Sus scrofa: one gene and its partners. The protein of the gene in region 5 interacts with the protein of the main gene of each other region in a biochemical or structural test. Links are inferred from orthologs where the notes say so. Each region holds a gene or a part of one and is shown on either strand. Other genes may lie near its edges. The genes, in order: GTF2F1, TAF6, ERCC3, GTF2B and GTF2E1.

Region 1 (5,877 bases), on a different chromosome or scaffold from region 5:
CTCAGGGCAGTAAAGCAGCAGCCAGTGGCCATGGCCTGCAGGGCCTCTCGGCTTCCACACGGCCTTCCTGGGAAGTTCCTCCCTATGCACCCCCTTCATCTCTCTGCCCCTACCTCCCCGAATCCAACCCCCCACCTCCTCGTGCCCATGAGCTCTCACCATGGGCACCAGGAGTCCCTGCAGCATGATGTCTCGGATCTTCTGGCCCCATCCGGTGCCCTGTTGGGCCTCCTGCCCCAGCAGCTGGCCCAGCCCCATATGGCAGAAGCCATACTTCGTTGCCGTGTTCTTGCACTGTGTCCCTTTGCTACAGCCTGGGCCACCATGAAGATGATCAGGGGGGACTTGAGGATGTCTCTGGTGCCCAGGGAGGAGGGAGTAGGGTTGGTGCCTGGTAGGGGCCGACAGGCACCAAGGTGATTGTAGGCACAGCTTGACAACATGGGACACACAAATGCTGGTGGACTCGTTTTTGCCCTAGGGTGGCATCTACAGGTGCATTTCCACATCTAGCGGCATATCCAGGTAGGGCATGCATTAGTGTTGCTGTGGGTTGTGTGGATAAGGATGTGAATCCGAACAGGCCAGGCCCTTTGCATGCAGCACCTTCTTGAAAGCATCACAATAACCCCATCACCCCATTTTACAGTTGAGGAAACTGAGATGCACAGAGGGGCAAGGACTGGCCCATCCCTCCAGTGTCATTCCATACCATCTTCCCCTTCCTTTACAGTATTTCAGCCTCAGTGGCCTCCCTTCTGTCCCTGGAACTCATTCCTCCCATGATGTTCCTCCCCATTCCCCCCTCCCTGGAAGTCCCTCCTTCAGGTCACAGCTCACCCATCAGGTCTTCTATATGCTCTGTCTAAAGAGCCTCCCATTCCATTATTCCCAGTCTTGGAATCCCATTCCCTCCAGCAATGCCCCGATCAGTAATGATTTTGCCTGTTTACTTGCTCTTGTCTCCCCAGCCAGATCGCTGTATTCCATACTCCATGAGGACAAGGACTATTTGTCTTTCTCATCCCATCTCTATATTTCTTGTCTTTTCTTTTTTTTTAGGGTTGCACCGGGGGCATGTGGAGGTTCCCAGGCAAGGGGTCCAATCGGAGCTACTGCTGCTGGTCTACGCTACAGGTACAGCAACGTCAGATCTGAGCTGAGCCTGAGACCTACACCACAGCTCACAGCAACGCCAGATCCTTAACCCACTGAGCAAGGCCAGGGATCAAACCCACAACCTCATGGTTCCTAGTCGGATTTGTTTCTGGTGCACCACGATGGAACTCCCCGTCTCTATATTTCTAAGTAGTTGGTGTGGTTTCTGACGTATGGTATTGGGTAAGGAATAAATGAAAGTCCATAACTATCAGACCCACCCATGGAGTGCTGTAGTTTATGGTGCAGTTTTGGTGTCTTTGCTTAGCCAACTCCTAGTTTAAAACGTCCCTCTTGGAGTTCCCGTCGTGGCTCAGTGGTTAACGAATCCAACTAGGAACCATGAGGTTTCGGGTTCGATCCCTGGCCTTGCTCAGTGGGTTAAGGATCCGGTGTTTCCATGAGCTGTGGTGTAGGTCACAGATGCGGCTCGGATCCCGCGTTGCTGTGGCTGTGGCGTAGGCCGGCGGCTACAGCTCCGATTGGACCCCTAGCCTAGGAACCTCCATATGCCGCGGGTGCGGCCCTGGAAAAAGACAAAAAGAAAAAAAAAGTCCCTCCTCCCTGAGCCACCTGCTCTTTCCCCGTAGCAGCCCTGTTCTTCCTGGCTTGTAGGTATCATTTTCCGAGACTGTATAATCCACCACAACCTCCAAGAGGACAGGAGATGGTTTGTCATATTCACCATGAACTGCCCAGAACCCAGCCAGCAGGTGCTGAAAGTGGATGGAAGAATGGCTGGTCCCGAGCATGCGAGCATGCGCAGTTGTGTTACTACATGGTGGGGGAGGGGTGTGTGCACACCTGGAATTGGACAGGGAGGGTACTCGTACCTCTCGTACCTCTCTCCTGCCCTCCATAGCCTCCTTCCCTTCCATCCAGTTAGCCAGCCACCTCCGCGATGTTACCCTTCTGGGGCCTCAGGGCCCTGGCCATCTGTGCAGCTTGAACTTGCACAGACCCACTCCGCCAGCGGCCGGTGGGGTGATCCCCACCCAGGCCTTGACCCCTCCTGGCTCGGTTCCAACGTCACAAGGGCTCCTGGCCCGATCACTTGACGAGATTATGGTTTCCCTCCTGGGGCTTAGGGAAAAAATGAACACCAAAGAGACTCAGGTGGAGCCGCAGTGTTTCCGTGCGAAGGAGGTCTCAGGCACCATGGTAACGCGGCCTCCTCGGACTCACTTCCGGAGTGGAGTAGCGCATGCGCAAGGCTTCTGGGCGGCCAGGAAAAAGGCTTGTTTCTCCACCCCTTCCCAAGATGCCCCGCGGTCCTTAATTGGGACGTCACGAGCGGGGTGTTACTATACAGCGTGATTGAGTTATCCGCACTATATATTGCAGTCAGCTGGTGCAGGAGCAGTAGTAGGTGTTGCTTTTAAGTCAGATTCGGAGCCTGTGACGCGGCCCACGGGAGAGTTTCGCTTCCGGTTTAAGTGGCTGCGCAGGCGCAGACGTGGCACGAGAGGCCTCAGAGGCTGACCGCTGTTCCAGCGCCACCCCCGGATAGTTTTTCCTAGGATTGGCGGCTCGGGGTTCTCGATCAGGGACCAGAGAGCCGAAACCTCGAGGGCGGCTTCCGCGGGACCTAGAGACCCTCATCCCGGGGGAGTCGAAAAGGACGAGGATCCGACCAGATTTCTACCATTGCGCATCGCCCATGGCGGCCCTCGTAAGTGTAAGGCGAGGGGTTTCCGGGGTCCTGGCTGCAGCCTTTATACTCCCTCACTCACTGCACTGCTTTCTCTCCCCTCAGGGCCCCTGCAGCCAGAATGTCACTGAATATGTTGTCCGAGTTCCCAAGTAAGTCCCAGACCCCAGTTCCCCGTCTCCTCCCAAAAGGGACTAAGCCTTCAGGCACCTCCTGATTCTCCTTCCAGACCGGTAGCAATCTAAGGGCAGGGCTGAGGTTGAGCCGAGGTGTCTGGGGCATCACTGTTTTTTGAAGAGAGTGAATGAATGAACGAATGGGTGCATTATTAATACACAGTATGGGGAGTTCCGTGTGGCTTAGAGGTAAGAAACCCAGCTAATATCCATGAGGATGCGGGTTCAATCCCTGGCCTCACTCAGTGGTTTAAGGATCCAGTGTTGCTGTGGCTGTGGTGTAGGCTGGCAGCTGCAGCTCCGTTTAGACCCTAGGAACTTCTGTATGTGGCCGGTTTGGCCCTTTTAAAAAGCAAAAAACAAAACAAAAACAGTGCCGGTATGATGCAGCCCCCCTACCTAGCATTCCCTCTGCCACTGCCCACTGTGACTGCTGGGTGGATTCTTGTTGATCCTGGAAATCCTAGTTCCACTATATTCCCTATCTGCCACCTCACCCCCCTTGCCTAGGGCTGAGTTCCCAGTTAGCGCCAGATCTTGGGTTCCTAGAAATCTTTGTCCGTTTTTCTGAATGGAGTTGAGAATATGGATCCCACTTTGCCAACAGACTGGGAACCTCTGAGGTCTTTTATGGGTCCCCAGCATTGCCTGACACAAAGGGCTGAGCCAGGGAGGGTTTACTGAATGAATGACTGAGCACTGCCTCTTCATGTCCATTCCAGAAATACCACCAAAAAATATAATATCATGGCCTTCAATGCAGCTGATAAAGTCAATCTTGCTACTTGGAATCAGGTATGTTGAGGTTCGGAGGGGGTGAGAGAACCCAATCATGGACTTTGTGGTTGTTATAGTTGTTTAGTTGTGATAGTAACCAAGGCTTAGCTTCCTCAGCTCTTCACCATGGAGATAAGTGATGACTAAGGCCGAGGCCAAGTTGCTGAGCATGCCTGAGGGGTAAATGCAGGAGGTTTTCTCCTGAAAGGAGCTGTGCCTACCAGTGGGCATCTTGGGCCTGGATTTATCTGGGCAAGGGAGGGGGCTGCCTCCTACAGATGCTCTAAGAGCCCCCATTGTCAGAGGCTCTAGCAAGGGCTTTGGGAGCTGTCTTAGCTCATTCAGGAGGCTATAGCAGAATACCAGAGACTGTGGTTTCTCAACAGTAGAAATTTATTTCTCACAGTTCTGGAGGCTAGAAGTCTAAGATAAGGGACCAATAGGTTTGGTGTCTGGTGGGGCTCTGCTTCCTGGTTCACACCTGGCTCATTTCACTGTGTCCTTGCTTGGTAGAAGGGGGAAGGAGCTCTCTGGGATCCTTTTTTTTTTTTTTTTTTTTTCCGTGGCATGCAGAATTTGTCAGGCCAAAGATCAAACCCGAGCACCAGCAGTGACCTGTGCCACTGCAGTGACAACGCTAGATCCTTAACCTGCTGCACCACAAGGGAACTCCTCTGGGGTCCTTTTTTTTTTTTTTTTTTTTTTGGTCTTTTTAGGGCCGCAACCACGGCATATGGAGGTTCCCAGGCTAAGGGTCAAATCAGAACTGTAGCCACCAGCCTACACCAGAACCACAGCCACAGCAATGCCAGAACCGAGCCATGTCTGCAACCTACACCACAGCTCATGGCAACGCCGGATCCTTAACCCATTGAGTGAAGCCAGGGATCAAACCCGCAACATCATGGTTCCTAGTCAGATTTGTTTCCACTGCACCATGACAGGAACTCCTGGGATCCTTTTTAAGGGCGCTCATCCCATTCATAAGGCTCCAACCTCATAACCTAATCACTGGCAGGACCCGTCCTAAATATCATCACACTGGAAATTAGGTTTTAACATATGCATCTTGGGGGGACGCAGACATCCATCCATAACAGCAGCCATTAAAGGTTAAACAGAGAAATTGTAAAGTGAACTGGCCACTGAAGGGTCAAAGGCAGGTGAAAGGAGAACAGGGGAGAACAGGGGGAGGTGAGCCTTGATGGGGCTTGGAGCAAACAGCTTATGAGAAGTGGCTGGATTCTGACTTTTCTTTTTAAAAATTCTTTTTCTTACTTTCTTTTTTGCTGCCTCATGGCACATGGAGTTCCCTGGTCAGGGATCAAATCCCAGCCGCAGTGTGCAGCTGTGGCAACGCTGGATCCTTAACTCACTGTTCTGGTGAACCTGTGTACTGGTGCTGCAGAAACAGCATGGATCCCACAGCTCCATAGCAGAAACTCCTCTTTCCTTTTTTTTTTTTTTTTTTTTTTTTTAAACTTTACATTACGAAATGACTTCAAACTTTCAAAAAGCTGCAAAAAAGAGACATAGTACAGGGCTTAACCTAGATCCCTTTACCCACAGTCACTGAGCACCTTTTGGCCAAGCCAGAAATCAGCTCTGAATGGCCACTTCTCAACTTGGAAGGGAGGAAGGGGTGTCGTTGGCAGGGGCAGAGGGGGGCGAGGGCAGGCTCCCTCATGAGAGGTGTTGCTCCCTGATCCCTCAGGCCCGGCTGGAACGTGACCTGAGTAACAAGAAGATTTACCAAGAGGAGGAGATGCCAGAATCAGGCGCTGGCAGTGAGTTCAACCGCAAGCTCCGGGAGGAGGCCCGGAGGAAGAAGTACGGCATCGTCCTGAAGGAGTTCCGGCCGGAGGACCAGCCCTGGCTGCTCCGCATCAATGGCAAGGCAGGCCGGAAGTAAGTGCCTTTCCCGCCCTCACTCCTTGGGTACCCTGGCTGAACTTGCACGGGAACTTGCACGTCCGGCTGTACAGTGTGGGTGACACCTTATCCTTTATTTGGGAAGATGAGCCGAGTGGATGCCAGGGCAGGAGGTCGGAGGGGCAGGATGCAGGAGGGCGAGGCTCAGGTCCTGGTGCTCACACTGAGGGGCTGCTGGGGACC
Region 2 (6,089 bases), on a different chromosome or scaffold from region 5:
AGAGCAATAAGATCCATAATCCCTATCCCCTGGATATTGCCATTGTCACTGGGGACAGATTAAAAAGATGATAATATTGTGTAATGATGGACCCTATAATGGGGGTTAAGACCAAGAAGCTTAATTTCACTAGGAAATGCAAACTTCATTCAATGACTTCCTTCTAGCTCACAGTTTCCTTAAGGGTGAGCATTGTGTCTCCTCCACCAGTCTTTCCAGCATGTGACCTGGCCCACAGTGGGCCCCAAGAAAGGGAGGGGCCCACTATGTGCCAGGCAAGCTAAAAATGGACAGGTGACACAGGTGTCTAAAGCATGTCTATGGCACTATCCTAGGACCAGGGAAACACAGGTATTCTCCTTCTCTCCAATTCAGTGGGAGGTGACAAATAAGGAAGGAGGCTTCCAAAGGAGGTGACATTTAAAATGGGTCTTAAAGAATGAAATTCAGAAGGAAGAGGATCATTCCAGGCTAAGGAAAAAAAAAAGAAAAAGAAAAACGTGCAAAGCACAGACGTGCAAAAGGATGAGGCAGTCTCAGTTGCACTGAGAAGTTTAAGATGGCTGAAACATGGGCACTTTGGGGATGGGAGGTGGGGTGTGGAAATGTAAGAGAGATGGAGGCCAGACAACAAAGAGACTTGGATGTTATGGCCAAGACTTTGGCTGTAATCTAATCACAGCAGGAGGCCTGAAGAGGTGTTAAAGCAAAGACCACAATTAAGACTATGTTTAGAAAAACTGACAGGTGTAAGAGGGTATGAATGGAGACACAAATGAAAGGAGAGGAGAGATTAGGACTAAGTAGTGAGGAACACTGATATTGAAGTGCAGTGTGCAGTGAGGCAAAGGGGAAAAGAATTCAGGAAGAAATTAAAGCCAGGAAGGCAACAAACTAAGAAACCAGGGCACTCGATGGTCCAGATCTGAAATGTCTTCTCCCAGCTAGGCCCCAAAAGTGATGCAGCCACAGAAGATGTTGCTCACTGTAAAATCCATTCAGCGCACACCCTCTTCAAAGCCTTACAATTATGGGGAACCTCTCCCAGCTGTGTGGCCTCTTCTTTCTTTTATGAGCTTCAAGGGCTGATTTACTCACTCCTATATCCTCTCAGGAGAGCATGAGGCCTGTAATTTGGGACAGTCTCTGCCAGGGTGGAGCAGAGGATGTCCACAAGGTATTGAGCCTGACACCCCATTCCTGCAGGCTCCCCAGATTTAGGTCTGGTGGCATACGGAAAACACATACACACACACTCATACAGACACACATTGAAGATGCTCAGTAGAGTGGGCGGTCCTGGACCGATAGTCTCTGAACTACAATTCCCACAAACCATTGGGACCCAAACCAGCAAGAACAAGCAGGCTCCCTCTGAATTTCTCATGGGAATTGTAGTACCATAGTTTGGGAGGAGCGCTATGCATTCTTTCCCTTGACCCCATTCGAATTCCATCAGGCTCCACAAGCATCTCCCTCGGGTCCTTAAGGAGGTCGAGTGACCCACCCATCATAGTCCATTTGGTCTGGCCCAGACGAAGGAAGTGGGGCAGAGAGATGCGAATAGGGGCTACTCCCTTTAGATACCTTCGCATTTGCTGGGCAAGCGTTCTGTGTCATCGTCTTCCTCCTTCATTGTCCCAGCGCAAGCACCGTACATAGTCAAAATGAAAAGCAACATTCCCAACGGCACAGGTCCCATGATCAAGGGTCGTCCACAACCAACCACCCCCTTGCCTTCAAAGCAACTCCGGACAGGCAGCGGGCCCTTTAAATCCCGAAGGTGTCTGCTGCAGCATTAATCCAACGCAAGGCAGGAGGCGCACGCGCAGTGCCGACCCCATAGCGGGCGGGGCCTCGTTGCGCTCCGGGCTTCCCCGCCTAGGTTTTGTGGCGCCTCCCGAAGGTCCTGGCCGCCGGATAGTGAAGGAATAAACTGAAGTAATTACATCAAGAGGGTGTGCTCCTTACACGTAGGCACAGAGACACCATTTTTATATTGTTTCAGGCCGTGAGCCCAGAGGGCTTATTCCGGCTTGGGGAAGGGGCCGTAATCTGTTCTCGGTCGCTGCCAGGACCTGCGCCCGGAGGGGGCGGGGCCAACATGGCGCCGAGCGCCGGGTGAGCGGCGCTTTGGCGGCGGTGAGAGGCTTTTCCTGCGCGGGGAGCTCGGCTGGCGGGGGCGGGTCTGAGTGGTACCCGGGATTAGGCCCTTTGAAGGGCCCGAGTGGGGACTGCAGGAGGACGGTTGGTTGTGTGTCCTTGCGCTTTGGGACTCTGTGTGTGTGCACTGGAGGGATGTTGGGGGGATGAGGGGGGCTCTCTACGCCTTCTTTCGCGCTGTCCCCGTTGCCCGGGGACCTTCGAACCGCTTCCCTGTTGGGGAGACTGCCACATGGATCTAGGTCAAGTTAACCCTCAGTGAAGCCTTCCTGCCGACTCCACTGGCCTGAGGTTTCTTAAGGCCGTAGCGTGTTTTGTGAGCCTTTACTGGCAGAGGGTACCGCAGGGTATTGCAGGATTAATGGGAGTTCGCCAGGGAACTGGGACACCATCGCCTCCTATATACCCGGCTCCAGACACAGAGTATGTGTTGAATAAGTGTGTTCCCTGCAGATAAGGCTTGTAAAAGGGGGGAGGAGACTTGGGATAGTTTGAGAACTAAATTGTCTTTCACCTTCATCTTCCCGCCCCCTCCAGTAGGCCCACACCCGCCCCCCACCTACACCCCACAGTGAGTCCTAAACACTTTTGACATTAGCTTTCCTAATGCCAACTTCAAGCGAGCCACTTTCCTTTTGGCCACAAAAGTAGATTCCGAGCTTGGACCTATGTCTTGTTGATTCGATAATAGTGGTACCGAGTATTTATTGAGCACGTACATGTTTAAGTATTACAACTCATTCATTTATTCAACAAATGTTTATTACTGAGTATCTAGTGTGTCTCAGGCTCCATTCTAGGGTCTCAGAATACATCAGTGAACATAACACCGAACATCTCTGTGGACACGGTGAGGAAAAGGGAGATGTAGTCATAAGAAGTAATACAATGTGTACTAGCAGATATTAAATTCCATGGGAATTTTTTTAAAGCAGAGTGGAGGTGGGGTGCAGTAGTGAATAGGGTGATAGAAATCAGCAGCCAGGGACATCTGGGGAAGAGCATTCCAAGCAGAGGGAACAGAGCAAAGGCCATCACAGCAAGGAGGACAGTGGGGCTGGATCAGTGTGAAAGGAAGGAAAGGAGGTCAGAGATGTGATGGGGGGAGAGCAGATCACCAAGGACCTTGTAGATGGTAACGAGGATTTGGGATTTACTCTGGCACATTGGGAGCCATTATAGGGTTTTGAGCAGAGAAATGACCCAATCTGACTTATATTTTTACAGAATCACTCTGGCTGCTATGTTGGGCATAGATAGAGGGAGTAAGAATGGAAGAAGACCTTGTCAGGAGGCTAGTGAAGTTCCCTGGGAAACAGATGAGAGTGACCTGGCCATGCAGTGGGAATGGAGAGATCAGGCTGGATCACCTGATGGATTTGATATGAGGACTCACATAAAGAATGAGCACCTGGACCAATGGCATTGCTGTGAAGATGAGGAAAGCTGAGGCTGGAAGAGATGGAGATGGGGAGATCAGGAGTTCATTTTTAGAAGAGGTTTTTAGTAGGTTTTTTTGTGTGTGGTTGTTTTGTTTTGTTTTTAGGGCTGCACTTGCGGCATGTGGAAGTTCCCAGGCTAGAGGTCCATTCAGAGCCACAGCTGCCGGCCTGTGCCACAGCAGCTTGGGATCCAAGCCGCATCTGTGACCTACACCACAGCTCATGGCAATGCCAGATCCTTAACCCCTAAGCAGGGCCAGGGATCAATCCCACACCCTCATGGATACTAGTTGGGTTCCTAACCTGCTGAGCCACAACAGGAGCTCCTTAAGGAGACAGTTTGATATAGAAGTCCGGAGTTAGGAAGAAAACTCTGGGCTGGGAATATAAATATGCTGTCTTCTTTGAGTTCTCTTATGGCTTAGCAGGTTAAGGTCCCACGTTGTCACTGCTGTGGCTGGGGTCACTACTATGGTGTGGGTTCAGTCCCTGCCCTGGGAACTCCCACATGCTGCGGGTGAGGCCAAAAGAATTTTTTTTACTATCCTCAGCCTATGATACTGAAAGCTATGAGTGGTTGAGGTCACCAAGGTAATAAGTATAGCTCATAACTATACAAGGACTGAGCCCAGCAGACTCCAACGTCAAGCAGATAAGAAGAGGAAGAACCAGTAAAGGAAAGGGAGAGAGAGTGGCCCATGAGGTAGGAGGAAGAACCAAGAGAAGGTGGGGTGGCAGTGGTGTAAAGACAGTGTTTTCAGAAGGGAGCAGGCAACTATGCTCTGTGCCACTAAGAGGTAGAATAAGATGGGGAAATTTGAGAGGACTTTGGATTTGACAGTGTGGAGTCTCTGCGACTTTTCTTTTGGCTGTGGCCTCAGCATGTGAAAGTTCTAGTGACAATACTATATCCTTAACCACTACGCCACCAGGGAACTCCCACGGTGACCTGATGAGTGCTTTCAAGGACCTAGAGGAGTCAAAATCCTGCTTGGAGTAGGTTCAAGAGAAAAGGAGAGGAATTAGAAAGAGAGATAAGACAGTCTTTCAGGGAGTTTTGTTGCAAGGAACCAAAGAAAACCAGAGTATCACTAGCAGAAAAGTGGAATAAAAAGTTTTTTCCTTAATTTTTAATTGTGAAATACATATAAAACTTACCATCTTTCTTTTTTTTTCTTTTTATGGCCACGCCCACGGTACATGGAAGTTCTCTGGGCAGGGATTGAATCTGAGCCACAGCTGTGACCTGTGCCACAGCTGCAGCAACACCGGGCCCTTTAACCCACTGTGCCAGGCCAGGGATCGAATCCATGCCTCTGCAGCAACCCAAGCAGCTGCAGTCTCCTTAGCCCACTGCTTCACGTCGGGAACTCCCCTCTTAACCATTTTTGAGTGAATCACTTTTAAGTTCTGTGGCATTAAGTACATTCACATCGTTGTGCAACCCTCCCCACCATCCATCTCCAGGACTCCTTTCATGTTGTAAAAGAGAAACTCTGTTCCTGTTAAACAGTAACTGCCCCTCCTCCCCTCCCCAGCTTCTGACAGCCACCCCTCTGCTTTCTATCTCTGAATTTGACGACTCTATGAGCCTCATGTAATTGGAATCACATAGTAGTTATCCTGCTGTGACTGGCTTATCTCACTGAGCCTGATGTTCTCAAGTTTTATTCGTGTTGCAGTGTGTGTAGGAATTTCCTTCCTTTTTATTTATTTACTTATTTTTAGGTCCTTACCTGCAGCATATGGAAGTTCCCAGGCTAGAGGTTCACTTTGCAGCTGTAGCTGCCAGCCTATATCACAGCCACAGCAATGCCAGATCCTTAACCCGCTGGGTGGGGCCAGGGATCAAACCCGTGTCCTCATGGATACTAGTCAGGCTCGCTATCACTGAACCACGAGGGGAACTCCCTCCTTCCTTTTTAAAAAGGGATAATATTCCACCATATGGAAGGACCACCGTTTCGTTTTTTTTAAGGTGGGAGAAATGACTGCATTTTCTCATCACATTCAATTGTATAGGCATATAGGCTCAGAGGGAGGGTTGTACTGAACCAATACTGTATCTTTGTCAAGCATGAATAATGATGCAAGAAAGGGCAAGAAAGATGAAGGCAGGCACATTAACAACCTTAGGGGAAAAAAGACACTTTCCACATTTTACAGAGAAGGAACCCAAAGCGGGGAAAGTTTAAGTACTTGCCCAGGTAACATAGCTAGGAAGCGCTAGGGCTGGGGTTTAAACTGAGAGCTGGAGTTCCTGCCATGGCACAGTAGGTTAAGAATCCCACCACAGCTGCTCAGGTTGCTGCCATGGCTCGGGTTCGATCCCTGGCCCAGGAACTTCCATATGCCTCAGGTGCAGCCAAAAAAAAAGGAAACTGAGAGCTGAGATCCTCCTCCTACTAGATCTCACTTGTATGGTACCTGGCTTAGAATCAGAGCTCAGGAAACTGTCGGATTGCATCCGAGTGCTCCCTCCTC
Region 3 (5,404 bases), on a different chromosome or scaffold from region 5:
TCTGCCCTGTGGTAAGTCATGCCTGAGTGAAGGAGATGGCTAGGCTGCTCAGTCTGGATTTGCTTTAGGCTACCCCCCCCCCCCCCGCCCCCGGCACCTTTCTTTAAATCATACCTGGTCAGGGAACAGCTAAGGCCATGACTAGACAGGTATTTGAGAGCTTATTCTGCAGGGCCCTGGCCTCAGCTTGGGATGTGATCAGGGTGGAGCAATGCCCCTGGCTTCGGGAAGCTCATGTGGTAGGGTTGGGACAGATGCGATGTGTCACCCAAACAGTATGAGACCTTGGACTGAGAGGAACCAGGTGTTGTGGGACGTTATATACTGGGGTTAGGGTCATATTCTTTTCAGTCTCTCTTTTGAGTTATGTGTATTTGCAGGCTTCCGAGCCCAGCAACTTTGTTCCTGGACTGCTTATTACAGGGCAGTAGCAAGAAAGGGCAGTAGCAGCCCCCTGGCACCTGACTGCTACCATTTTTCCAAGAAAGGGCAGTAGCAGCCTGCTGGCACCTGACTGCTACCATTTTTCTTGGTCATGTCAGGTCTGGCCTAGATTTTTGGCCAGAGGTCACAGCAGACTCTGCTGGGACCCTACCCCAGACTCAAGAAGGCAGACTAGCGAAGGGGCCTACATCTTCAGATTTTTTTTTTTTAAAGCTCCATGGGCTGTTTCGAGGCACATCCCCAGTAAAGGAATGATTGCTATTTAAAGGAGTACCTTTTTTTTTCTTCCCCTGTCTTTTTAAGGGTGCACCCATGGCGTATGGAAGTTCACAGGCTGGGGTCGAATCAGAACTATAATCACCAGCCTATGCCACAGCAACATGGGATCCGAGCCACAGCTCACGGCAATGCTGGATCTTTAATCCCCACTGAGCGGAGGCCAGGGAACCAACCTGCGTCCTCATGGATGCTAGTCAGGTTCATTAGCACTGAGCCACAAAGGGAGCTTTCAGAGGAACTTTAATCTTGATCTTCCAGTGGTAGATAGTAGTAGCCTGGGAAGCCCTGGACTCTCCTTCCTCTGTCTTTGCCATCAGCTGCCTGCTCCCACATTCCTGGGTGCTTGGCCCAGTCAACTGCTCAGTCCTCATAGGCATCTTTACCAAGTCCCTCCTGAGGTGGTCTCCTGGGTGCACTGTATCCCAGCAGCACCCTTCCCGGGCCTGGGGCACGTGACACCTTGGCTGCTGTCTTCCCATGTCTCAGATGGCCTTTCACCTGTGGTTGGTTTTGACAAATGGTGTATTTCAGTATTTAAACAAGGTGCATGTACAGTGCTCTAGTAGGGCCTGCCTGGCCCTTGTCTCTCCTAATGCTCACATCTGTGTGTGAAAAGACATATCTCCTTTTTCTAAAGAAGGAAACAAGTTCAGAGCAGCAAGCACCTCAGCAGTGCTAGCTGTTAGGATGATTACAAATAATTTTGGCCAGATGCATGTGCTGAGTCCTCTCTGTCCTCCTTCATCTTGACTGGGCCTTGGGTAGGATTGCCCTTTGGTTTCTCCTAGGCGCTGGGAAGTCCCTGGTTGGAGTGACAGCTGCGTGCACTGTCAGAAAACGCTGTCTGGTCCTGGGCAACTCAGCTGTGTCTGTGGAGCAGTGGAAAGCCCAGTTCAAGATGTGGTCCACCATTGATGACAGCCAGATCTGCCGCTTCACCTCCGATGCCAAGGACAAGCCCATAGGCTGTTCCATCGCCATCAGCACTTACTCCATGCTGGGCCACACCACCAAAAGGTCCTGGGAGGCTGAGCGGGTGATGGAATGGCTGAAGACTCAAGAGTGGGGCCTCATGATCCTGGACGAAGTCCACACCATACCTGGTGAGCAGGCTGAGAGCAGAGATGCCCACTCAGCGTGTGGACAGACTGATTTCCAGTTCTTGGGTTGAGGGAGGATTGGCTGTGCAGTGCATCCATCTTGCTGGAAATACTTGCGAGATGAGGCTTCTGAATAAGTCATAAGCACAGGGTGGGGGGTGCACACTGAACACTTCCTTCCTTAACCACTGGCCCCAGAGTAGTCATTTAGAAAGTGAAATTTTCTTCCTTCTTCTGTTTCAACTTACCTTTAACCCTCTGCCCTTTTTTTTAATGGTCCAGAAAAACCCAGACTAGGAGAAAAAGGTACTTACAGTACTGCTTGTTTTATTTGAAGACTAAAGCGTTGATTCTTAATATGTTATAGAAGCCTTACTTGTCCAATATTGCAGGTGATCCTTCTTTTAAACAGCCATATTGATATAATTTATAAACCATAAAATCCACCCATTATAAGTATACAATCTAAGAGTTTTAGTGGGATGGAGTTTGTGCGGCCATCACCATGATCCAGTTTTAGAGCATCTTCCTCATACTCGCTTACTTGCAGTGTTATCATCCTTAGCCCCAGGCAACTGCTGAATTGCTTTCTCTTTGTAGAGACATGCCTTTTCTGGAAACATACTAACAGAATCGTATAATAGGTATTTTCCTGTACCTGGCTTCATGTAATTTTTTGTCCACATTGTAATGTGTTCCTTTTATTACTAAATGGTATTCCAGGCATAACAAATTAAGGGGTAGCCCTGATCAGTTAAGCAGTGTAAATTAGAGTTTACTCTGAATTCAGTGAAATCGGAGGCATTTTCACATAGAGCATTCAAAATATGGTCAAAATGGCCTTTCCATCTGTTTTTTCCTGTGAAACAAGAGCTCCTCCTGGAACTGTGGGTGTCTGCAGAGACCCGGAGGTGCTGGTACACCCGGTAGGGAGATCTTTCAGGTAGAAGGAAGTGGTCCTGCAGGGGTAATAGTACAGCTCTGGAGCTAGAGGAACAAGGGCAGTAGTCATGCTGAGGTTGAGAGTGTTGGACTTCCTGTAGGACCTGAAAGCAGGCGTTTGGCTTGGACTCTGGGTGAGAGGCTGCTTGAGGGGTTTGAGCAGAGGGTGATCTGAGTTAATGGCTTCTGGGTTGGGAAGAGACCCAGGAAGTGGGTGGAAAGCAGCCAGGCAGCTTAGCTTGTGGAAGCCCAGCCCAAGGCTCGAATCAGTCTGATTCTGATTCTGTGGTGAAGGCTAAGCTGACAGGCTGGATGTGGCTCTGAAGGAGGGAGAGGGCAAGGCTGCCATAAGGTTTGGGCTGGAGCCGTTGGAAGGAGTAGACGTTCATGGAGATGGGGAAGCCTTCTCCTCTGGAGAAACATGATCAGGAGTCATGTTTTAGACACGTTTATTTGATTGCCTGTTAGACCATCAGGCAGTGGCCAAAATGTTAGAAAATGGGCAAAAGACCTGAGTAGACTTGTCACCCAAGAGAGTATACAGGTACCAGTGAGCATTTGAAAGGTGTACAGCTACTTTGGTCCCCTTGGTAAGTTGCCACTGCATACCTGTTGGAGTGGCAGAAATAAAAGCATTGACTGTACAGGTACTGAGAAGAGTGCAGAGCAAATGAACCTATCAGACGAGGCCAGAGAAATCGCAAAATGCAGTCACTGGGGCTTCATTAGAAAAGTACCACGTGACTGGGTGGTTCTAGCCTGGGCGTCTCTCCCAGAGAAGTGAAAACAGGGTCACACAAAAAGCTGTGCATGAATGTTTAAAGCAGTTCTGGTCATAATCTCCAGAACCTAGAAACAAGGGAAACTCCTGTCAGGGAGAGGCTGGTTGGGCAGCTGGGGCACTGTCCACTGGGACGCTGCTCTGCTGGAAAAGGGACGCCCGCTGCCTGCGGTGTGGGTGCTGTATTACGGCAGGCAGGCCTGAGTGGTTACAGGGTGACTCCTTTGGTCTAACATTGAAAAGGCAGAACTATAGTGATGACAACAGGTCAGGGGGCTGGGGGGGGCTGCCTGTAAGGGAGAGCCTGGGAGCTTTTGGAGTCTGGTTTGCTTAGTACATGCATCCTTCCCTGTGTCAGCCGTTAGGGCTGTAAGGATGCAGCAGCAGGATGGGGCTGTTGTATAGATACTTCAGGGAGGGCTGCTTTCTGACTGCAGAGCCTACAGTCAGGGTCCTGCCTTCCTGGTGGGTAAAATCCCCCAGTGCCACCTCCCTGGAGCCCACATTAGTTTGGTGTCTCCGTTGCCTGGGCTGCCATGTCTTTCTGATGTGGGAACCTGGGCTGGGGTCCTGGGCTGCCCTTTTTTGGAGCTGGCACAGTCCTTGGAGATAACCCTAGCCCTGTTTTTTTTTGTTGTTATTGTTGCTTTTTTTAAAATGAGAGTTGCAACGTTTATTTCAGGTTCTCTCTTGTTTTTTTTTTTTTTTTTCTTTTTTGCCACACAGGCAGTATGTGGGAATTCCTGGGCCAGGAATTGAACCTACACCGCACAGCAGCAACCAGAGCCACGGTGGTGAGAACGCAGGAGCCTCAACCCTCTAGGCCATCAGAGAACTCCCCCTGTTTTTTTTCCAAGTGTGTGTGTAGCCATGTTAGGCTTCAGTGTGAGAAGCTCTATAAGACATGGATGTTTGGGGTTAGACAGCCCTTTGTTATTTCAGATGATAGTATATATATTTTTTCTTTTTTGGCCACCCCCAGGCATATGGAGTTACCAGGCCAGGGATCAGATCTGAGCTGCAGTTGTACCTATGCCAGATCTTTTTTTGTCTTTTTGCTTTTTCTTGAGCTGCTCCTGCGGCATATGGAAGTTCCCAGGCTAGGGGTCCAATCGAAACTGTAGTCACCGGCCTATGCCAGAGCCACAGCAACTCGGGATTCGAGCCATGTCTGCGACCTACACCACAGCTCACAGCAACGCTGGATCCTTAGCCCACTGAGCAAGGGCAGGCATCGAACCCGCAACCTCATGGTTCCTAGTCAGATTCGTTAACCACTGAGCCACGACGGGAACTCCTCTATGCCAGATCTTTAACCTACTGTGCTGGGCTGCGATCTGAACCTGCATCCTGGTGTGCAGAGATAAGGCTGATCCTGTTGTGCTACAGGAACTCCACTGTTCCCTATTTTTGGTTTGGGTTTTGATGAAATCTACCTTCTTTTCCCTCATATTGTTATGTCTATCTCTGAAGTATCATTCACCTTTGTCTTTAATTTTACATAAGATAAGCATGACAAACATTTCCACCTTCCTTTAAAGTATTAGAATTTTAAAAAGTGAAGCTATAGGAAGTTTTGGTTTGTTGGGTTTGTTTTTTGTTTTTGTTTTTTGTTTTTTTGCAATGACAACACCCCGTCTTTTAACCTGCTGTGCCACAGGAGAACTCCTAAATTGAGTTTTTTAAAATGAGTATCTCATACACATTTATATGTTTAATTTTTGATACATCGCAAAGAATTAAAACGTTCAAATGAAGCGAAGGCAAAGGGAGTTGCTGGCTGAGCAGGATGAATATGGCTAGAAGAGTGTGGAGAAGGACGTTTCATTTCTGGTCTCTGGGAGGATGGGGGAATGGA
Region 4 (6,162 bases), on a different chromosome or scaffold from region 5:
TCCTCTTTTTAGCGCCACACCCGTGGCATATGGAGGTTCCCAGGCTAGGGGTCAAATCAGAGCTGTGGCCACCGGCCTATGGCACAATGTGGCATCTGAGGCGAGTCAGCGACCTGCACCATAGCTCACAGCAAGCCGGATCTTTTTTTTTTTTTTTTTTGTCATTTCTTGGGCCGCTCCCGCAGCATATGGAGGTTCCCAGGCTAGGGGTCGAATTGGAGCTGTAGCCACCGGTCTACACCAGAGCCACAGCAACATGGGATCCGAGCCTCGTCTGCAACCTATACCACAGCTCACGGCAATGCCGGATCCTTAACCCACTGAGCAAGGCCAGGGATTGAACGCGCAACCTCATGGTTCCTGGTCGGATTCATTAACCACTGTGCCACGACGGGAACTCCAAGCAAGCTGGATCTTTAACCCACTGAGCGAGGCCAGGGATCAAACCCACGTCCTGGTGGATGCTAGTTGGGTTCGTTAACCACTGAGCCACGACAGGAACTCCATTAACTTACGTTTCTTAATTATTTCTGGGGATGTGACCTTACAATCATAAAATGTCTGCTATCATTGAAAATAACCCCTTTTTAAAAGTTCCCACCTGAAATACTATAGAACAGTTATGTTTTAGCCATCACAAATACACATGTAAAAAGACAACATCAACCATTCTGAAACCATGTTAAACAGGTATCTGTGAATTTGGATAGTTTCTCAAACTACCAAGTACAATTCAGAATGTTAACTCTCAACAGAGGTACTTCTGGAGTTTCCATCGTGGCGCAGTGAAACAAATCCAACTAGGAACCATGAGGTTTCGAGTTTGATCTCTGGCCTCACTCAATGGGTTAAGGATCCGGCGTGAACTGTGGTGTAGGTCGCAGACGTGGCTTGGATCCCATGTTGCTGTGGCTGTGGTGCAGGCCGGCAGCTACAGCTCTGATTAGATCCCTAGGCCTGGGAACCTCCATATGCCTTGGGTGCGGCCCTAAAAGGACAAAAGATCAAACAAATCAAAGATAACAGGTAATTCCCGCTAAAAAATTGATAAAATAATCCACATTCCAAAAATTTATATAATCAGGTTAACCAAAACAGGTCTTTTCACTGGGAAAATAAAGGATGGAAGTTTGCTTTATATTCATGCTTATTCCATAAATTCCTATTAGGAAAATATTTTAATAAATTGTAACAAATAAAATATTAAGAAATTGGCATAATTATAAAAGGTTGTCAAAGGAAACGTCGGCAGAGAACAGAAATTACAAATGTATAAAATGGGCAGCTGTGACACACAGCATACATGGGACCGACACATTCTGCACTATTAAATGGCAGAGAGAATATCACATGCACATATATGAATATAAAAATGATATAAAACATGTCGAAGATGGGCTAAGCGGAAAGAGCACTGCAGAGATTTTATAGAAAGTGAAAAAAGCGTAACTACAATTACACGAAATAACATGAATGAATCTCAAAATGCTGATCAAAAGACCCCCACAGGGGACGACACGTGCATTTATACATAAAGCTTCCATCGGGTAAAACAAATCTATGGTGTTCGAAGTCAGGCTGTGGTTCTTCTCAGGTGAAAAGCAAAGGGGCAGAGAGCGTTCCTCTTCGACTGCTCTTTGGAAGGAACACAGGTTAGGACTACACGTTTGCTAAAGCACAGAATCCTTCGGAAAACTCGGAGCAACTGGCTACAAGGGCTGCTCTGGAGAAGACTTAGGAGCCAGGAGCTCAGGAAGGAAGGAAGCTGCTGCTCACTCTTCTTGGGTGTGTACAATTCGCACGTGTGTTACTCAACGCAAAATAAAATGAAACTACTGGAAACAGTCCACTTCTAAACAAACTACCCACCAGGGTAACAAATGAGGAACCTCAAGAGTGGGGTGGTGGGAGGACAAAGGGGGCACAAGAGGGAAGAATCCAGCAAACTGCCCCCACTGACACTGGAACAATTAGGCGACCTAAGGAGCCAGGCAGCTCCCAACTGCACTCTCCAGTATTTTCGGGAGGCCTACTGTGTGCCCAGTACTGTACACAGATTACTCATCTTCACAGCAACCCTGCAAATTAAGCAATGTCTCCACTTGATTTTTGTCTTTTTAGGGCTGCACCCACGGCGTATGGAGCTTCCCAGGCTAGGGGTCCAACGAGAGCTACAGCTGCCGGCCTGCACCACGGCCACAGCACACGGGATCCTTAACCCAATGAGCAAGGTCAGGGATTGAACCTGCGTCCTCCCGGATACAGATCAGATTCCTTTCCGCTGAGCCACAACGGGAACTCCCACAATATCCCCACTTTAAAAACAATGCTCACAGAACGATTTTCCTGAAGTCACAGAATCAGTAAGTGGTAAAGTGTAGCTTTGAACTCAGAGTATTTCTGTTCTCCGCTTTGAAGACAGCAGGCCGTTCCAGAGCCCAGTACCTGTACATCTTCCTCAGGGAAAAGCTCACAGCACAAATCCTAACATTTACCTTTGTTCTCACTGGTATATGGAGAGACAGACAACCGCAATGACATATTTAAGATCCGGACATGCCCCGAGAAACGTATTTCAAGGACGTTTTTAACAAATGGAGACAATGAGGGCACAGAGAGGACACGTGCCATGTGTTCTTTCAGTAAAAAATCCATCCAGTGAATGTGCTGCATCCAGCTGCTACAACATTTCCTTCAAACACAAGTTTCTGCTCTGTTATCTACAAAAGCCCCACTGTGACCCCCTTTCCCACCGACTGCCCCAGCAGACTGTCAGCTGTTTTCAGGTGTCTTTGGGAAGCTCGTTCTCCATTTACCTACAAGGAAGCCTTACCTGACAGAGCCACACCCAGACAGAACGTTCAATCCCAGAAGTACAATCAGTAAACAAGTGTCACTGGCTTTGAGAGCTGCCTCCAGTTGTTTTAGCTAAAGCCCTCTCCTCCTCCCTCCTTGCTGAAATACAGCAACAAAAAGTAATGGGCCTTGGCCGTCACCAGAAAGGGCCTGGATTTCTCCAGCTTCCTATTTTGTGATAATGGCTTTCACAGGGAATTCAACGCCACAGACGATACCAAGCTCAGAAAAATCATGCCAGAGGTGCCTGTCTTCTAGAAGCTACAGAACTGGATTTGATACTTTCAATACATTCTGAGTAACGAGAGGCCAAGTACGGTAACAGAAAAGAGACGCTACACTGTTCTCACATTAACCTCGGAAGAGACACCACTGGTACGACTCGGTGTATTTACGCTTGGGCACAAACCCTAGTATCTACCTCACAGTGGTCACGAGGGAGGCAATTAGGGTCTGCAAGCATTTCTCAGGTCACAGGACTAAGGGCCGTCTCCATGGCACTGCATCCATTTCCTGCAGATTGGACTACACCACGCTCAAAACCTACAGAAGAGAGGCTTCCCCGCACACGTCGGTCGTCTTCCGCAGGCAAGCCTTTCCGGAGCAGAACGCAGAAGACGTGCGGACAGGAGCCTCCCACGAGAGAACGCAGCCTCGCTCAGAAAGGCCCCGGCTCCCACCGCGCACCTGCGGGACGCCAGGGACGGCCGTCCGCCCCAACCCTCCGGCTGTCAGGTCGCCGGCGGCCTGGACCTGACCCTTCCCGCTCTTCGGGGAGGAGGAGTCACGGCCCCTCGGGCTGGTGGAGCCGCAGACGGAAAACAGGCCAAGAAGTTAGCCGAACAAGACAGGACGGCTGGACCAGCTGCAGAGGACGCGAGGCCGGGGCCGGGACCCGGGAGCCCCAGACAGGGAAGCGCCGGCGGCCGGTACCCCGCGCCGCCCCCGCGTCGGGAAGCGCCTTTGTCCCGGCGGCCGGCCGCCCGCCGCCTGTCCCCGCACCCCGGCCCTGGGGGCCCGCCCGCCGCCCGGCCTCGGCTGCCCGGCCCCCCGCAGGCTCACCGGCTGGTCGACGCCATCTTCACGGCCCCTCCGGCTCCCGACCGGCGACGACGACGGACGCCCGCAAACAGGAAGCGCTTGCGGCGACGAGACGCGGCGAGCCGAGCTTTTATAGGCGAGCCGTCCACGCAGGCGTCATCGGGCGCGGCTACGGGTCGGGAGAAGGGCCAAGAAAGTGAGCTCCTGGACGCCACGTGCTTTGCGTTTTCTCATTTTCCTTTTCGGTCTCGGTGGTTTCCCGGTCGCCGGCACATCGAGGCAACTACTCAGGAAAACGCTCAAGGGCCCCAGCAAACGGGCTACACCTGACACCCTCAACTTGGCTGGGTCAAAACACCAGGACAACCCGGGCTTTGGAGGGGGCAAAGCCCTCACCCCCCAGGGCTAACCACCCCTCCCCCGCCGGGAGTCGGCGCTCAGCTCTTACTTGCCCAGAGGGCGATTCCACCTAGGTATTTGGAATAAAGAGGAATGCACTTAGGTCAGCCCAGATGTCAGTTCAGGCTCAGTCATCCCCTAGCAAGCTGTGTCTTCCTTCGCCCTTCGCACCTGGGGGCAAGAGGCAATAGCATCTGCCTTGTGTACCCTTTTAGAATTGGCAGGAGATGAAACAAACTGTGGGAGAGCATTGTGCACCCGTGAGGCAGGGAGATGCGGGCCTTACCTTCCTGTTGTTGTCATGGTCTTTGCAACTTGGGCATAGCTGAAATACAGAGAATTTACCAGAACGTTCAGATACCCCAAAAGTCCCTAAATTTATTAAATACCCAAACTAATGGCACAAAATTAATAAAAACAACAGCAACACTATCACTACGTCGTTGAAAACAAACTACCCTTGGCCCAGTGGGAATAGAGGGAAAAGGGTTTCTGTGGGGATGAGCACTTAGAATACTGCGGCTGCTTTGTTCTTTGGGGCATGGAACTGACACCACTGGGCAAACGTTGTTTCCTTGAAAGGTGGGGAAGTCTTGCTTCCTTAGAAAGAAAAAGGTGTGTAAGAGGGAGAAGTTTAGGAACTCATATAGGAGTGGGGATGGGGGAGCTTTTTTTTTGGTCTTCCCAACTAACTCTGCAATTAAAAACCCTGACTATTTTTGTGGGGGCTTTTCTCCCACAATATCTGGTAAAGCTTCAAAACACCAGAGTTCCCGTCATTGCTCAGCTGTTGACGAACCTGACTAGCATCCATGAGGAAGCCGGTTTGATCCCTGGCCCTGTTCAGTGGGTTAAGGAGCTGGCACTGCTGTGGCTGTGATGTAGGTGGGCGGCTACAGCTCCGATCTGACCCCTAGCCTGGGAACCTCCATATGCTGCCGGTGCGGCCCTAAAAAGCGCACACACAAAAAGCCAATTCATCTCAGCTGTGCCAAATGTTACCAGGAGAGGGCTTGCAGGTGCTGCGCCCCAATCTGGCAGAAGTTTCCATAGCAGAGCTTCTTGCCTTGGGAGAAGGGTGAGAGGAGGAGGAAGGGAACCAGGGGGGCACTCTTGAGCGTGAAGATAAGGACCCACCACCCGGTGGTTTAGGGTGGGCATTACATGAAGGAAGAAGCTATCAGAGAAAGTGAAACCCCAGAGGAGGGAAGCTGGGCAACTGGTTAAATTACACCTGCCCCACCTGAAGAATCTCTTATCTGTCATAACCTACTTAGGATGACTTTTATATTAAAATAGAAGCAGCTTAGGTAGGCCATTCCTTCTTCTCTTGTTAGTATAGCGTTGGCAATTTACAAAGCATTTCATCAACATTATCCCACTTAATCTTTGTATCTGATCCTGAGATTGAAACACACAGACTTGGGGTTTTGTCACCTAGGAGTCAATGACCTAGACTAGCATTTACCAAAACTTAGGAGTTGTTCATATAATCATTTTTATTTAACTTAATGATGTGAATTAATTAACCTGATTTATTTCAATCAATTATTTAAACTAACTCACTTTTTAAAAAAATCTTCTTTTTAGGGCCGCACTCAGGGCATATGGAGGTTCCCAGGCGAGGGGTTGAATTGGAGCTACAGCTGTTGGCCTACACCACAGCCACAGCAACGCTGGATCCGAGCTTCGTCTGTGACCTACACCACAGCTCACGGCAATGCTGGATTCTTAACCTGCTGAGCTAGGCCAGGGATCAAACCCGCATCCTCATGGATACTAGTCCGGTTCTTAACCCACTGAGCTATGATGGGAACTCCAATATGTTGTCTTTTGTGTCTGGCTTCTTCTAGACTTGGTGTGGGT
Region 5 (6,061 bases):
TCCCATTGAAAAATTTCAATAGAGAATCATATTCTGTTATTAATACTAGTGTCTATTGAATCTTTTATTTAAAACAATGGTTATCCACCTTATCAGATTTAATAATTTTTATAAGAAATATTTTTATACCCAAAGTACTATACTAAAAAGATATGCCTAAATAATCAATGCATACACATACTTGGAGGGGGGATATAACATACTACCTGTAATAAAGGAAAAAATAAAAGTCAGTTATAACAAATTATATATTTCAGATTGCAAATACTCAAGCACGACTATATATGAGACAACAAAGCAGCACTTAGATCCAAACTTGTGGTCCTGGAGCCTTTCTGTCATCCCAAGGTTTAAGGATGCCAAGCGAGCATCTGGGTTTAACACCAAAGTACCAGATGCATTTTGTTCTCCTTTCCAATTTGGTCTATATGTTGTATTTGAACCTAGTTTGGGGATTTTTGTTTTGTTACATGCTCAACATTTGGCAGAACACAATATATGGCTTCAGAAACAGACCAAAGGATGGCAAACCAACACCAAAATAACCTACTTTTCCATTATTATCTCCCTCTATTACATCTCTCTTCTCTGACCTTCCATTCCATATACTCCATTTTCCAGGTCAAAAGTTCTAAACCCTGGGCTATAAAGCAGAATGATCTGCTGGGATGACAGAAAGGCTCCAGCACCTCAAGACACCTACCCTGGGCCTTGTTTTGAGAGATTCTGTTTCAGCTGGTCTAAGAGAGTAAGATTAGGCATCATACTAATTTTTTAAGCTCTTTTGGTGACCCTAATATACAGAGTAAGTCCCTGACCACTGTTACCAATAAACTGGGTATGTGGCTCTTACTCATCCCACCAAAGCACATCCTGCATGGGGAAGGCCCTGTTCACTTGTCATTCAGCCTGGTACCTTTGCCTAAAACAGCTTAGCTAAAGTGCTAAAGATATGAGCAAGGGAGTGACATGAGGACTCTGGAGTCCCATTGTTTTGAGTTTTGAATCTCAGTTCTACTATTTCTGAGCCTCTGACCCTGGAAAATTCTTGGTCTGTTTCATCATATATAAAAAGTGATTAACAATGTCTTCTTTATAGAGTTGATACATGGAGTAAATGAGATAATATCATGTGCAGTGTTCTGCTTTCAAGGCTGGCATCATAAGAGTTCCATTAAGTGTTGGCCTTCGTAACAACTCCCTACTTAGATAAGTAATTCTTAAAACACTTTGAGAAATGGGCTGAAATAAATGAAGATGGAAGCCCTGTGGAAGTATTAAGAATTATAGTAATCAAACCTAAACTACAAAAGGCAAAAATATAAGAGGACAGGATGAATGAAACTTACAGAGACAAAATCAAAAGGATCCCATAATATATTGCAAATGGAAGATACACAGTAGGAAATTTTTAAATATTTGGGGTTTTTTTCCCCAATTTTTTTACTATGATAAAATATGCACAGCATAAAATTTACCAATTATATATTTTTAAGTATACAGCTCAGTGGTATTAAACACATTCATAATGTTATCCAGCTATCACCATCAACCACTTCCACAGCTCTTCGTTTTGTAAAACTGAAACCTTACACCCATTAATAACATATAGCTATTTGTTTTAAGCCAGTATGACTGGGAAGAGACAAATATACTGAGAAACAGGCTAACACCTGAAGAGGAACAGGTGGAAGAAATGAGGCATTCAGTTCCAGTTGCTTGTGTTTGAAGAAATACTACAGAATGTTACTGTGAAGATGTCCCACAGGTAGCTGAACAAATGAATCTGGAGCTCAGCAAAGAAATGTATGTGCCATCTTGTTCAAAATCGCTATATTCTAAAAATCCTCTTTTCTGACCACTGTGTTCTCTCCTTCACTGCCTCTACTTCCCCACTGATGCTAAATCTCTTCAATCTCTGGATTTTATAATACTTAGGTCAGAGGTCTCAAATTGGCAGCTTCTGCCACATGATTTGACTAATTTTGATTTCAAAATGTTTTGAAAATTTTCTGAATTAGTGGTCAACATTTAAAAATCATGAGATTTGGAGCTACTGTTGTGCTTCAGTGAGTTAAGAACCTGAGTAATGTCCATGAGGATATCCATGCAGGTTTGATCCCTGGACTCGCTCAGGGGGTTAAGGACCCACAAGCTGCAATACAGGGGGCAGACGAGGCATGAATCTGGCATTGCTGTGGTTAGGCCAGCAGCTGCAGCTCTGATTCCACCCCCAGCCTGGGAACGTCCACTAGCCGCAGGTGTGGCCCCAAAAAAGGAAAAAAACAAAAAACAAAAGTCGGATCCTGCATCCTCATGGATACCAGTAGAGTTCATTTTCTGCTGAGCCACCATAGGAAACCCCCCATTTTTTTTTTAATGAAATAAAAATCATGAGATATCACATAAATTTTAATTTTCAGCTACTTCTCAAAAGTGGAAATATCTGAGGGAAAAAGTGAGATCATATTCCCACATGGAAACACTCAGCTGAAGAGCAATTGATACTTTAAAAAAGGGAAGGAGCTTGGCTGGCCTCTGGAGACTTTTGAGTGTGTGACCTTTGGGGGCCATGTCTGGTTTCTTCTTTTTAGTCTTATCAGTCCATCAGTCACCTATCAGTCTCACCTACAACCCTACCCTACCTAACCCAGACCCCTGAAAGCAAGTTGCTTTTGTTTTTAAACCATATGTATTCTAATCACACAAACACCAGGCAGAGTTGTAAGAACAAAGTTGAAAGTGAATGCACTCTCTGTACTGGGTCTAGGCTCCTCAGCCTCATCTGCAGCCACAATGGCATTCTCTCAATTCCAGGAGCCACACATGCTCTCTGCTTCCAAGCCTTTACACACGCCCCCACAACAAAGGCCGAAGTCCCTTCTCCTAATCATTTTTCACATCTCAAATGACATTTCCTCAGAGACACCTTCTCAGATTCTCCCTAGCAGTTTAGAATCATCCCCCTTTCACATGCTCCCATAGCTCTTTCCCCTTCTTGGTGGCAGTGAATAGTTATACTTTCTCAATGTCTACATCGGAGACAAGGGTCTTAATCTTGTTCACCACTGATTTTCCAGTATGGATAACAGCTGGTCAAGTATTTCCATAAAACTTTCAATAGGTCTCCTCAGCACGTGTTCTTCAAACATGCCCACCCTGTTAGCCCTCACCTCCCCCCATTCACTTTCCCCACTGCAGCTTCCAGAGTAAAGAAAGGTAGGGTATTGAAAACCCTCTTCTTAAACTTCAAATGGTTTTAAGCAGGAGGTGACAGCACCAAATTAGCGATTTTAAAGGATTCTGCTGACTGCAAACTGCAAAATGAAGGGAAAGAAGAAGTGGACGTGGGGAGTTCTGTTAGATTTCGATATATTACTATTCCAAATCTGGAATAACGTGGATTCTATACATCCACCTGGTTTTTCTCAGTTAGCCACACTTCACGATAGTCTCCACGGCTTCATACATAAAGTGGCATTATCACCGCGAAACCTCTGGACCAGCCCCGTTCCCAAATGTTCGTTTCCGCCCCACTGTGACAACCACGACGCCCTAAATTCCCTCGGACTCTGCCAGCTGAGTCCAGAGGCCACACTTGACGCAGCCAAGCCAGTCCTACCCGAGGTCGCACATGGGCCGCTCCGGGGTCAATGGTTCTTTGGAGGACCAAGCAGAGAACCGACTCAAAAGAGTAAGGGGGAGGAGGACAGCTAAGGAAAAAGCAACGAAGACACCCTGAAAGGCGACGTCGAACCAGGGAACCGAGGACAAGGAACAGGGAACAAGGTTTACCAAAGCGAATCCTCGTACACTCCCACTACAGCTTCCCTCTGCGCCTCAACTACCGGCTTAAACGAGCCACGCCACTTATGCGACAAAGAAAACGCCATATTCCTGCGACCAGTTTTAGAAACCACCCGCTACTTTTAACCAGGCAGGCCAATCAGCACGGTGAGGCCTTCAATCAAATCAGTCACATTCCGATTGGCCAATGGCATTGAAGACTCGGCCCTCCATACCCAGCTCTGATTGGTCTTCAATCCCGGAATAGGCGTTAACCTCAGGAAGGAGCTGGCAAGATGGCGTCCCTGGATCGGGTGAAAGTACTGGTGTTGGGAGACTCAGGTGAGCCGCTTAACCCACCTTTGGGGCTCCCGACACTTTTGAGTTATATGAAAATCCTCCCCTTTCACTCCCTCTCCACCCATCTGCGGATGAACTGACTCTGGCGGGGGGCTGACATCCCTCTCAAGGCCCAAAGACTACACTTCCCAGAGGACTTTGCTCTGTTTAAGCGAGCCGCGGCTTCGCAAGTGTTGGGGGCGCGGAGCCCGGGCCTTTCTCTGTTTTTTTTAGGTTTTTACATCTGTCTACCAGATGACCGCAGCTTAGTGATCCTTTGTTTTAAAACATATGCGGATACTGAGTGTGGTATTAGACGCCGTGCTGAGACAAAGTTAGGACCTTTCCTTTAAGAGATTTTGTTAATTAAGGAAATCAAACGTGCGCTTAGGAAACTGTACCAGGTGCTTTGCATATATTGACTCAATCCTGAGATCAGGCCCGTTATCCCATTTTACAGATGAGAAAAGAGAGGCGGAGGGCTGTAAATGACAGAACTGGTTTGAACCGAGAGCCTGTGTGCTTAAAACACTAACCTATATTATTTAGTGAAATAGCAGGTAGTAGTAATCTTTTACGCTCAACTGGGCTTCTTGTTTTCTTTATTCTCTTTAATCTTTTCTTCTTTTTTTTTTTTTTTTTTTTGCTTTTTAGGGCCACACCCAGAGTATATGGAGGTTCCCCGGGCTAGGGGTCCAATCGATCGGAGCTACAGCTGCCGGCTCACACCACAGCCACGCCAAATCCCAGCCAGGTCTGCGATCTACACCACAGCTCATGGCTCCAAACATCTGACACAATGTCTATCAGAGCAAATATCCAAAAGTCAACTCCAGAAAAGCATATCTATGAAATGCAAAGTTACCATTTATTCCAAGTTTTTAAAGAGCTTAGGAATGGAGATAATGAGAAACAGAATGAGAGTGAAGTGGAAAGGGGGAAATGAAAACTTCAGTTCCAGTTGTCAAGTGTCCAAGGTGTCAAAATAATTTTAACACTAGGAGTAAACTGGGCTTAGCATTAAGATGAGTATGACCCTCATCTTAATTTTTCTATTTCTTACAACCCAGCACATAAGAGGTTTTCAATTAAGATTAAAGAGAACAGGAGTTCCCCTCATGGAGCAGTGGAAAGAATCTGACTAGGAATCGAGGTTGCAGGTTCCATCCCTGGCCTCGCTTGGTGTGTTAAGGACCCCAAAGAGCCTGAAAAACAGCCCGACCAAACAATAAAGTTGTTGGGGAGAGGAGATGGTTGAGAACATTTTTACATTGCCTGAAGATTAGTTGAATTACAAAATATTTTACTGAGCATTTAATACTCCCTTCAGAAAGTTGCACTTTGAAATTCTATGAACATAATCTAATTTATGTCAGCTTTAGTTCTTTTGCTTGAAGTGGTGTTGAAGTTAATAAAAGCACTCAGTTTTACAGATAAAGAAAGCAGTGCTAGTCTAAATGGACTTTGAAAGAGTATCACCAAGTAAGATTTAGAACTGGAATCCAGAGTTAACAGTTTTTGATCATATGTAAAGTGAGTGCTCTCTCGCATTTATGATTCCTTTTCTTTTGCATCTAACAATCTCTTCACATTACATTTTGTTCAAACTAGTTGATTTATTCTCCCCCCCCCAAAAAAAATTTTTAAAACCTTCAGCATAACAGGTACTGAATTAGATGCTGGGGCTATAACTGTGGAATCAGTGCGTTATGCAACAGGGTTAAATTGGCTGCTGCATTAAATGGGGAAAATGATCAGGCAATTAGTAGGTTTCTTTAAATTATTATAGTTTAGTTGTAAAAGAGAAGACACAGCAGTGCCCACTGGGAAAGTGACTGATCTTGTCACACATTCACTGATGTTAGGCTATATGTGTAAAATCAGTTATTACCTTTTTATCAGTTCTCTTTTAACAGTGATTTGCTATGTGACAGAT

Evidence for each region.
Region 1: the proteins of GTF2E1 (region 5) and GTF2F1 form a complex in vitro, tested with the Homo sapiens proteins (3 studies listed by BioGRID). The link is inferred for Sus scrofa from reciprocal best matches to the Homo sapiens genes GTF2E1 and GTF2F1.
Region 2: the proteins of GTF2E1 (region 5) and TAF6 form a complex in vitro, tested with the Homo sapiens proteins (2 studies listed by BioGRID). The link is inferred for Sus scrofa from reciprocal best matches to the Homo sapiens genes GTF2E1 and TAF6.
Region 3: the proteins of GTF2E1 (region 5) and ERCC3 form a complex in vitro, tested with the Homo sapiens proteins (2 studies listed by BioGRID). The link is inferred for Sus scrofa from reciprocal best matches to the Homo sapiens genes GTF2E1 and ERCC3.
Region 4: the proteins of GTF2E1 (region 5) and GTF2B form a complex in vitro, tested with the Homo sapiens proteins (2 studies listed by BioGRID). The link is inferred for Sus scrofa from reciprocal best matches to the Homo sapiens genes GTF2E1 and GTF2B.

The regions. Positions count from the first base shown.
Region 1 is NC_010444.4:72,685,190-72,691,066, forward strand, and holds the start of GTF2F1 (general transcription factor IIF subunit 1), read left to right. Parts: upstream 1-2,423; 5' UTR 2,424-2,818; coding exon 2,819-2,830; intron 2,831-2,914; coding exon 2,915-2,961; intron 2,962-3,707; coding exon 3,708-3,780; intron 3,781-5,476; coding exon 5,477-5,670; intron 5,671-5,877. UniProt on the Homo sapiens protein: TFIIF is a general transcription initiation factor that binds to RNA polymerase II and helps to recruit it to the initiation complex in collaboration with TFIIB. It promotes transcription elongation.
Region 2 is NC_010445.4:8,022,743-8,028,831, reverse strand, and holds the start of TAF6 (transcription initiation factor TFIID subunit 6), read left to right. Parts: upstream 1-1,987; 5' UTR 1,988-2,104; coding exon 2,105-2,121; exon of another isoform or gene 2,122-2,247; intron 2,248-6,089. Other genes in the region: CNPY4 (protein canopy homolog 4), read right to left, coding at 1,588-1,702. UniProt on the Homo sapiens protein: The TFIID basal transcription factor complex plays a major role in the initiation of RNA polymerase II (Pol II)-dependent transcription.
Region 3 is NC_010457.5:25,195,076-25,200,479, forward strand, and holds part of ERCC3 (TFIIH basal transcription factor complex helicase XPB subunit), read left to right. Parts: coding exon 1-11; intron 12-1,511; coding exon 1,512-1,826; intron 1,827-5,404. UniProt on the Homo sapiens protein: ATP-dependent 3'-5' DNA helicase/translocase. Binds dsDNA rather than ssDNA, unzipping it in a translocase rather than classical helicase activity. Component of the general transcription and DNA repair factor IIH (TFIIH) core complex.
Region 4 is NC_010446.5:127,520,711-127,526,872, reverse strand, and holds the start of GTF2B (transcription initiation factor IIB), read right to left. Parts: upstream 4,072-6,162; 5' UTR 3,936-4,071; coding exon 3,919-3,935; intron 1-3,918. UniProt on the Homo sapiens protein: General transcription factor that plays a role in transcription initiation by RNA polymerase II (Pol II). Involved in the pre-initiation complex (PIC) formation and Pol II recruitment at promoter DNA.
Region 5 is NC_010455.5:139,605,550-139,611,610, forward strand, and holds the start of GTF2E1 (general transcription factor IIE subunit 1), read right to left. Parts: upstream 3,935-6,061; 5' UTR 3,796-3,934; exon of another isoform or gene 3,615-3,795; intron 1-3,614. Other genes in the region: RABL3 (rab-like protein 3), read left to right, coding at 4,083-4,128.